Drosophila melanogaster: one gene and its partner. The protein of the gene in region 2 purifies or fractionates together with the protein of the main gene of each other region. This does not show direct contact. Each region holds a gene or a part of one and is shown on either strand. Other genes may lie near its edges. The genes, in order: SuUR and PCNA.

Evidence for each region.
Region 1: the proteins of PCNA (region 2) and SuUR purify together in Drosophila melanogaster (affinity purification with western blotting; one study listed by BioGRID). This does not show direct contact.

The regions. Positions count from the first base shown.
Region 1 is NT_037436.4:11,062,992-11,069,525, reverse strand, and holds SuUR (suppressor of Under-Replication), read right to left. Parts: upstream 4,536-6,534; 5' UTR 4,359-4,535; coding exon of another isoform or gene 4,152-4,358; 5' UTR 4,132-4,151; coding exon 3,804-4,131; intron 3,697-3,803; coding exon 3,497-3,696; intron 3,431-3,496; coding exon 3,252-3,430; intron 3,166-3,251; coding exon 984-3,165; 3' UTR 501-983; downstream 1-500. Other genes in the region: CG6310 (uncharacterized protein), read left to right, coding at 1-158, 220-395; CG45101 (uncharacterized protein), read right to left, coding at 4,152-4,358; CG32075 (uncharacterized protein), read left to right, coding at 4,866-5,005, 5,065-6,064, 6,125-6,339, 6,403-6,534.
Region 2 is NT_033778.4:20,261,229-20,265,044, reverse strand, and holds PCNA (proliferating cell nuclear antigen), read left to right. Parts: upstream 1-2,161; 5' UTR 2,162-2,323; coding exon 2,324-2,431; intron 2,432-2,491; coding exon 2,492-3,166; 3' UTR 3,167-3,291; downstream 3,292-3,816. Other genes in the region: CG8908 (uncharacterized protein), read right to left, coding at 1-113; RpS18 (ribosomal protein S18), read right to left, coding at 283-552, 613-798, 935-937; plu (plutonium), read left to right, coding at 1,384-1,399, 1,457-1,861, 1,916-2,019. UniProt on the Drosophila melanogaster protein: Likely to be an auxiliary protein of DNA polymerase delta complex and is probably involved in the control of DNA replication and repair by increasing the polymerase's processibility.

The DNA of each region.
Region 1 (6,534 bases), on a different chromosome or scaffold from region 2:
CACGGTGCAGTACACAGAGCGACTATCCCATTGGCCATACTGGCTGAATACGGCTACGGCCAAGTACGTGGTCACCAAGTCATTACCCGGAGTATCGCCCGTGGCCTATGCCATTAAGTCCACGCATCAGACTTGCTTCTTTGCCGGATTCTATTGCCGTAAGATAAGACGGAAGTGATATGAATGCCCTCGCTAATCGTAAATGAATCTCTATTGCAGTACAATCACTGAGTGAATTCACGTTCAGAAACTCCAATGGTGATACCTTTGCCCAGGAGAACATCCAGTATCAGTGTCCACCACTCTTGGGCGGCATGTGTAGGCGGGAACTGGAGTTCCAGCGCCAGGCGGTGATGCACAACTTAACGATAATATTCGGAAAACAGAGAGGATAGCATACCAGGATCTAGTTCAAATTTAAATCATATGTGCAAACAACTAATTGACTTACCTACCAATAATCTTAATTCCTAATAAAAAAAAAACACACACAATACTTTGTTTTTAAATGTAAACCCTGTGTTTATTTAACGATGATACAAAATTACACGGTACTTGCTTCTAAAAACGATATCTTTCGTTACTTTAAAATTGTTGAATACACTTTGAATGCGTATTGAAATAATTTAAAAAAAAAAAAACACGTCTAAATCAGGTGGCACATTTTGGAAAATGAATTGAGAAACTAGATAAACTTGTGAACTAATAATTTACCAATTATATCTACTTACAAGATACGCATACAATATTATGCAGTGTCTTTTCAATTTTATGGTAACCTTACTCTTCAAAATGCGCACACAAAGTATAATTTTAACTAAATTAGCTAGACGGTCCTGTGCAATTTGATTTTACAACCTCATATTTGGATGCTGTTAACTTTTGATTTCGTACTATATGTTATATATTCCTTCATTCATTATATATTCAATAATTGGATTTGATTTGATTTGGTTTTTGTCATTTTCATTGATTGCTGTTCATCACTTGAACAGTTCCAATCGCTTTCTTTTGGTCGGTCCTGATGCTCCACCACTTCTCGCCGATCGCGTTTGACAAGCTGCTGCACTTGTGGATGAATTCACCGGCGTACTTGGTGCACTAACCGATTCCACGGAGCTGGTCTGTGAGGCTCCACCGCCGAAGACGGAGCCAAACCAGCGTGTTAGTTTCGTGGCCTGAGTGGATTTAGCACCCTGTTTGGGAGATTTGGGTGACTTGCGCAGCGATGCAAGAATGGAATTGCGATTACCATTCGAAGGTTGCGTTCGCTCCTGCGTAATTCCAGAACCTATCAAATAATTGGTGATTTTATTGGCCTGCGACGGCCTGACGGACTGTTGATCCGGTTGCACGGGCGATACTTCGCCAGAGGAGTTCAATCGCATGCGACTGCCAAATTGGCCATTGTTCGTTATCTCAAAGAAGTCATCTTCCAGCAGGGTTCTTCTTCTCTGCGTAATGGTAGACTCTGCATCATCCTTCTGGGTCAGTGGCAAGGTTGGCAAGACTTTGGGACTAGTTTTAGCCGACTGCTGTTGTCGTGGCTCGAACATTTGCTCCAGGATATCCAAACACGAGCGATCTCGCTTCTTTTTTGGCACCGATATATTTACTTTCGCTAGCTGCTGCTGAAACTGCTTCACCTCAGAGCCAAAGATCTTAAAGCCTTCGAAGGGCGATGAGGGTCTTGGTTGCGCCAGCGGAATCTGCGAGTGTTCCGAGGATATGCTAAATAGATCTGGAGATTTGTTGGCACTCCTCTTGGCCGGTGGTAGACCCAATCCGCCGCCGAAACTTGAATTGACGGACGTCACGGGTTTGCGTTTTCTTTTCAAAGCCTTGGTGCGACGACTCTGCGATGGATCCTGCGGAGAACACTCATCGTGCGAGCTATTGATCACCACTGTCTCAACTGGATCTTTGTAAAGCGGAATAGACACCACCTCAGAATCGTTGAGCAAATTGTGTGTAGACGGCAAGGTTAGAAGCATTGGAGTTTGTTGAGGTGTAAAGGGCACACGAAAAGCGGGCGACTCAATGGCATCCAAATTGTCTGGTATTCGCTGAGCACATTGCATGTACTCCGAGGACAACGAGCTACCACTGAGAACTTGAGGAGTAGGTGGCAAGTGCTTTGAATTCGGCTTAGTCTTTGTCTTCCCCAAATCTTCAGTCTTGGTTTGGCATTTTCTCGGACGTCCAGGCTTTCGTTTCGCAGTTCCTTGAGCAGGTACATCCACCGTCTTCTGTTTCTTTTCCTGCCCGACTTTAGACTTAGGCTCCTGCTTCACTATTTGTTTGCTACTTCTGGGCGTTTGGTTACCCTCCAACTTGACTCTCCTTGGAAAGCTACGCTTGACATCATCCAATGAGCGATGTTTCAAGTACTTACTGTTTATTTTTGTTTCAGCGGATCGTGTTAGGCGCTGCATTCCCCTTGTGGCTGGACGACCCACATCCACTGGGCTCACCGTGCGCTTTTTCAGATTTTTTCTTCTAGCTGTGGGCTCCGTTTTGGGCGTTACGATCGCAGTAGTGGTTCTGGACGGTGGTGGTGTGCTCAGAGTATCGAGGGAAACCCTTAAAATTCGAACATTGAGTCTCCTTGTCTTAGGTGTCAGATGAACGGTGGCTGCACGAGTTCTCTTCCTTGGCGGCATATTATCGGTCGCTTCATCATCCTCTTCGGAATCGGTGAGATCAGCTTTTTTGCGCGGTGACGTTTTTTTGCTAAATTTTTTCTTTGATTTCGTCCTTGGTGATTCATTTAATGAGGGCGTTCGATTTTGCGGAGTACTTGGAGGTGTTACAATCTCACAATCATCGCTGGATACAACTAATACCGGGTTTTGATCTGCATCAGGTTCTACTGTTAGGGGTTCATCGTCAGACTCGGAATACTCGAATATCAGCGGTGACATTGCCACATCATCCACGCTGTGCTCGGATAACCTATCCGTTTCTTCAAAGAGCCCAGTTTTATTTTGCTGAGCCGGATTGTTGTCTATGGAAGCGATTGTAGAGCACACATCTGAGCCGCTTATTGTGCTCTGGCTGTTCTTTGAGGCCAACCAGAGATTCAGATTGTGTTTGTATTGCTCCGGTGCGACAAGTGGCAGTGACTTGTCGAATTGATGACGAAAACGACGCAGACGAAAGTCCCTACAAATTATATAAGTTATTTTCATATGCAACTGACTATTCCGGTCTTATGCAACAGTGAAACTGATCGTTGCTGGTTCACCTACTTGATGTACTCGCTGAGGAATCCCCGCTGCTTGTAGTATTCCTCGAGATCTATGCGCTTACTGAATACCTCCTTCGGATCTGGCAGATGGAATTTTCGATCGAAGCTCGCAAAGCTTTTGTACTGATGCTCCAGTCGGCCGCCCAACCGTAGAACATTGTAGAGCAACCTAACGTCGGACTGCAGAGAGAGAGAAACCACATAAGCTAAAATGATATAAACCATATTATGAATGCATTGCCTCACCGTAACGTCAACACTGGAGATAAGAACGTTTACCCGTCCCTCGAATTGCTTCAGCAGCATGGAAGTGCAAAAGCTGTTGTTCAGCGAATGCCCCCGATTATCCACCATAATGTAGTCGAACTTGAGGCGACTGAGATCTCCAATGCTCCGTAGTTGGCTCCATTTCGCCAGGTAAACGCTGTGCGGGGAGTCGGTGGTATCTGTAAAGGCAGAAAGTGAAGGTGTTGAAGTTTAATTTTTAAATGGCAATAATGTGAAATTACGATAACATTCTTATCAACAAATCCATTTAAATATTAGGCATTACCTTGCACCCCCTGAATGATGTACACCTGGAGGTCAGTGAGAGTGTCCAAATGGAATCGCCAACCGGTGAGCAGTTGCTCATCGTTCTGGAGCACCACAAGTGTTTTTTTGGCGGGTGGTAGGGCACTTAGAAGTGCCGCCACCGTAGCGACCTTTCCAAGGCCACTCTCATCATTCAGGATGCAGAATTCCCGCTTAGCCAAACGATCGTAGACGAAGCGGACGGCATCCAGTTGAAAGCTCTTGAGGTACTGCGTCACGTGGCTCGTGACCAGTGCCTCATCTGTGAGCCGCACCTCCGGCGTTTGCTCGGATACAAAGTGATACATGATCCTTCAGAGAATTCGAATCAATGGTGTGCGTGATGCAGGGCCAGATAGATGGCAACCAGGATGTAGAATAGTTGCAGGTACGAGAAGATCACGAACATCGAAAATGAACCAATTATCATCTTTCGCGCCGCAGACGGCCCATCGAATTCGATATTCTCCGGATGCAGTATGTCCACCACGTTGTAGTTGTTGTTGATGATAACAGGATGTTGGATCTCGTACATGTGTTGAAACTAGTTAAGCTTCAATTTTTTCGGAGGACAATTTTCGTCCCTTTTGGGAAATTGGGTTAAGCGCTGTTAGTCATGGCGGGGGCGCGGGAAAAGGCTTAACAATCGAACAAGAAGAAAATATTATTTTTGGCTCCAATTCTATTTCACCATTCACACAGAACCGGCTGCGTCTTGTTGGCGCGATCAGCTGTTGGACGTTGGTAGTGTTGGCAAACGAAGCAATGTCTAGAAATAGCCAAAAGAGATACTGCTCTTGATTAATAGCAAAATATTAAAAAAAACTTACTGAACCGACAAGGATTAGTAAAATACATTAGGTTGGAAACCTTTGGCGAGTAAAATGTTTTTAAATTAAATTATTTATTCTGCCAACTCAAAACTTGTGTAAGGAATTCATTTTTATAGCTGCATTTAGCTCATCACTGTTGCAACTGTTGTGATTTCGTTTGCGGTTTGTTTCGCATGGAATTTGTTTAAATTTATTCAGACCAAATTGCCATGGCTGTTGCAAAGAAGGAAAAATTTGAGGCAAAAAAGAAAAGCCCTGAAAAGGGAAAACAGCAGAAAGCCAAAGTTGTTCCTGTCACACCGCCACCAAATGTAAAACAACGAACTGTGGTCACTCCTTGGCGAGACACGTGCGTAGACAAAAAGTGGAAACAAATCCAATCCGTTGATAAAAACATTACATTTTCAGGCTGGAATTTAATACAACGTACAAATGGTTGTTTGGCAAGTCCAACACACCAGCCACATGGCGTCAAGCGCTCAGTAAAATCCGCATTTGGTGTCTGCGAAGAGGAAGTCTCTGCCCGGCAGCGGTTTTGGCCACATCGGTGCTTGTTCAGGCGCACTTGGAGGACCAGGAGGGCAGCGCCAAAATACAGGACACCTATGCCAGTGCCTTTACACGATTCTACAACTTTATGTCCTCCATTATCCAGGGACACAACATGTCCAGCATGTATGAAACGGCCAAGGAACTGGGCCTCCAGTCGTTCATCGTTGATCTGCGCCACTTGTGCGCCCATGGACAGGAGCTGCCGCCTGTGGAGGTGCTGAGAAACACCTCGAATCATTGTCTGGAGTGGCTGCGCACCTACTACTGGTTGCCACACATGGAAACCATGTCCAATTTGGATGCTGGCAAACTGCATCGCAAGGACAAGCTTAAGTTTGAAAAGGCTGTGACAGATCTTCTGGAGATCTACGATCTAACCCTGGAGTGCCATATCAAGGGGGCTGAGAAACTAAAGGCCATTAGCAAGCTAAAATCCAGTGGTGAATTCAATAAGATACGAGTCTACTCCTCCAGCAAGAAGGCGAAGACATCGAAAGAAATTCTGAGTGCTGTGTTAGGTGATCTAAGTGCGTTGGTCAAAAAGGAGTCATCATCGATGAAGGATCTGCTGGACATATATACAAAATGCCTGCTTAAAATGAAATACTTCCTTGGCGTTGGCTTGGAAATCGACGACAACGAGGATGTCATCATTGCAGCCACACAGGGACTCTTCCGTCTATTGGCCGTGCAGGGATATATCGAGAAGGTTTTTTTGGCCCTAGTTCAACTGAGTGAAAACCAAAACGAGTCGGAGCAAAGGCGTCTGGGAGCCAGCTACTGGGCAAAGAAAATGTTGGAAACATTTGGGATGCTGTTCCGTATGAAGCGCATGTACAAAGCCGAACTGGATTTGGTTAGTATAAATACGGAGTGTGTTAACGATGAAAACACTAAAATATTCTTTATTTTCCAGAACGATAAACTAAAACCAGCGGACTTTGCCACCCTAAACACGGATAAAATTTCTAAGACAATGCGCAGTCTGTTAGTACACTCAAATGCCGATCTCTCGGTTACCCTTATTTTTGGCGACAATCCCAAAAAGTCCAGGTCTTTGATTTTTGATCGTGATTTTATTATGCAGCGTGTTGATGCATTTAGCAATTACTCAGCGCCCATTCTAAAAGGGTAGGTATACATTTTTTTTTGGGTTTACTTGCTTTTGGATTAATAAGATTGACATTTTCTTAGATTATTACCGCTCGCAGATCCTCCATACACCAAGACGCAAATTGAGGATTTAACTAAACTCTGCGATGCACAGCTTGAAGAATTTTATGAAGAGGAAGCTATGGAAGAAGATAGCTCTTCAGAGGAGAGCAA
Region 2 (3,816 bases):
ATGATCACGCTGGTTAGCGTATTGGAGAACTGGAAGCGGGCCGTCTTGCATATGACCAGCCACAGCAGGCATATGCTGCTCTGCGTCTTCACCGGCGATTCACCACTGGACATATTCGTACAATTTAGATGACGCCAACACGTAAACAGATTAGAAATATAACAAACTTCACGTATACTCCGCACTAAAACGTTCCGGCTTCCGTGTTTTCTTTTATTTTGTGGTTGATGTGAAAATTAAAGTCGAATCGGAAATCCGTTCCGGCAGGGAACGCTGCTAAGCTTACTTCTTCTTGGACACACCCACGGTGCGACCACGACGACCGGTGGTCTTGGTGTGCTGGCCACGCACACGGAGGCCCCAGTAGTGACGCAGACCACGGTGGGAGCGGATCTTCTTCAGACGCTCCAGATCGTCACGCAGCTTCGAGTCCAAGTTGGAGGAGGTCAGCTGCCAGTACTTGCCATCGATGATGTCCTTCTGCCTGTTGAGGAACCAGTTGGGCACCTTGTACTGCAGAGGGTTCGAGATGATGGTCACCACCTTGTCGACCTGCAAACATGGCATTTAGGTTGGTGTGCGTCTCGAACGGATTGGGCGTGCTCAACTTACCTCCTCCTCGGTGCACTCACCGGCGCGCTTGGTAAGATCGACATCGGCCTTCTTCAGCACAATGTTGGAGTAGCGGCGACCCACTCCCTTGATGGCGGTCATGGCGATGCCAACCTTGCGCTTGCCGTCGATGTTCGTATTCATGATACGCAGGATGTGCTGGAACTTCTCTGGGATGACGAGCGACTGCAAGAATGCAAAGAAAAAACATTAGTATAATGCATATAAACCACGCCATTTTTGCCAACAGCTAACGGCATTTGCAATTCACTATAAATTTGTCGTTTGGCGCTCAGAATCGCACATATTTGAGGTAACTCACCATTTTGCCGTTTGTATTCTCGTATTTACTCCTCACTGTAAAGAATTAAGAGGTATTTTGTTTTAGAATTTTGGAAAAATCAAATGGGCAGCACACCACTCACCGGAAACGGGAAAAGAAAAGAAGGCCGAATTAATGTGGCTGCCTGAGGCGGAGTAAAAAACCTAAAATTGCCTGCCACGTTCGGGACGCGTGCTGTTAATAGTTCGCCGTGTGCTGTTAGGCGCACTCTGGTCCATCACTAATGCAAATTTAAAAATTCAAAAGGCGCCGAACTTTTGTTCAATGAAAATGCTTAAAGTGCCATTTAGATATGCTCTGTGTGCACATTTAAAAAATTAAACTTCATATTTTATGTTTCTTTATATTTTATATTTTATTCCCCACATTTCGTAATACGTTTTATCGTACTGCATCCCTAGAGCACCGTTATATGAAAGCTTTTCAGAATGGGTGAAATAAATGGTAAATTATATTAGCTATGCGAATTTCCAATATTGATAAAAATGCATTGCATTTAAGCACTCAGCTGCGTTGGACAGGACGATGTCGTTTCCCTGCGCATCGTGTGCACCATGGCTCGCGACGGCAAGCAGCACAACCTCGAGGATGTGGACATGTACGGGAATACCGCCCTATTGAAGGCCTGCTATTTGGGTCGATTTGAGTGCGCTCGTACGCTGCTGGAATTCGGTGCAAATATCTTTGCTATGAACTATTTTGGTCAAAATGCCCTGACACTGGCCACTTATGCTGGGCATTTGACTTTAGTAAAGGAACTGTTGAGGCGAAGATCCTACAAGGATTTCAATCTGTCCTCGATGATCCCGGCCCTCTGTGTGGCTACACTGCAAAAACACTCCGCTTTGGTGGCCTATTTTACTCAATTGGATTCGAGGGGCGTGCAAGAAACTCAAACAGTGCATGGTTAGTAAAAATCAAGTGTATTTATATAGTAACATTAAAGTAAATTTATTTCAGGTCTGGGAGTTGCAGAGCTGCGAGGAATGATTAAAGCTGCAGGCCGCTTAGATAAGCGCAATGTGCGCTCTCCTCCCACTTTTATTAGCAATCGTCTGCGTTAATGTATTGTCATTTTGTAATAATTTATTAATTTTAATGTTTGAAATAAATATACTCTGTAAAAAGTGTGAACATAATATGTTAATCAAACCAGTTGGCAGGCCGCTCGCTGGCTGCTATCGATAGATTCAGTCGATATCGCCCGTGGCTTTTCACATCCCTATCCCGCTCATTTAGCCCGCCTGAAAGTAAAAAAAAAAAACAGCCCACGTTAATCATTCATCCCAAAGTCACAGCCGCGGTAACATTACTGCTGTTAAATTCTTAAGCCCGTCATCAGTATTTAAATAATAAAACACATTCAATATGTTCGAGGCACGCCTGGGTCAAGCCACCATCCTGAAGAAGATCTTGGATGCCATCAAGGATCTGCTCAATGAGGCAACCTTCGATTGCAGCGACTCCGGCATTCAGGTAAAAATTGCACAAAAAAGATTTTAAATGCATATCCCTAACACCTTGTTCAACTTACAGCTACAGGCCATGGACAACTCCCATGTGTCGCTTGTCTCGCTGACCCTGCGTTCCGATGGCTTCGACAAGTTTCGCTGCGACCGCAATCTCTCCATGGGCATGAATCTGGGCAGCATGGCCAAGATTCTGAAATGCGCCAACAACGAGGACAATGTGACGATGAAGGCGCAGGATAACGCCGACACTGTCACCATCATGTTCGAATCGGCTAACCAGGAGAAGGTATCGGACTACGAGATGAAACTGATGAACCTCGACCAGGAGCACCTGGGCATACCGGAGACAGACTTCTCGTGCGTGGTCCGCATGCCGGCCATGGAGTTCGCTCGCATCTGCCGCGATCTGGCGCAGTTCAGCGAATCCGTTGTGATCTGCTGCACCAAGGAGGGCGTCAAGTTCTCGGCCAGCGGCGATGTGGGCACCGCCAACATTAAGCTAGCCCAAACCGGCTCTGTCGACAAGGAGGAGGAGGCGGTGATCATCGAGATGCAGGAGCCGGTGACGCTGACATTTGCCTGTCGCTACCTGAACGCCTTCACAAAGGCGACGCCATTGTCCACCCAAGTGCAGCTGTCGATGTGCGCAGATGTTCCGCTGGTAGTCGAGTATGCGATCAAGGATCTGGGTCACATTCGCTACTACCTGGCACCCAAGATCGAGGACAACGAGACATAAGTCAGCTGTGTTCCTCATATTTATGTCCCCGCATCGTCACCACTCATCTTCCCACGTTCACTTCATTCCTAACTTTTAAGTAAATCCGCATTTTTTGATCAATAAAAGCTATACTGTGTAATGTTAACTGGCTGAGTTGTACAATTGATTTTAGGGCGTAATAACCATTTATTCGCATTCCATATATAACACTGGGTATCGTTTAAGGAGAGAGAGATTGCAAACATATACATATTAAGAGTAGTGGTTTATCAAACACCTTGGCGTGGGATAGACAAAAAACCTTGGCATATCTCCGACATTGAAGTTTGTTAGCCTCCGCAGCTGCAGAAAATCTGGACATACCATTGGGGAGTTCTAAATCAAGGGTAATAATGGGCGATTATTCTATTCACTGTGTATAAGTACTCGTTCCGTATGAGGCACATAGTCGGGAGTTTTGCAACAAAGAGCTTTAAGCGAGTGTGTGCCTGCATTCAAGAGCATTAATCGTATGTAAATACATGTAATAAATAATGCGTGTTTACACGCTTCCAATACTTGCATACTTGGCTTGCTTATGCTAGAAGCTACATACATACGTATCCTATACTTAGTTTGTGAGTATATAAAACATAGAAAGCTGTGTCATATAAAATTGTATAAAAAAA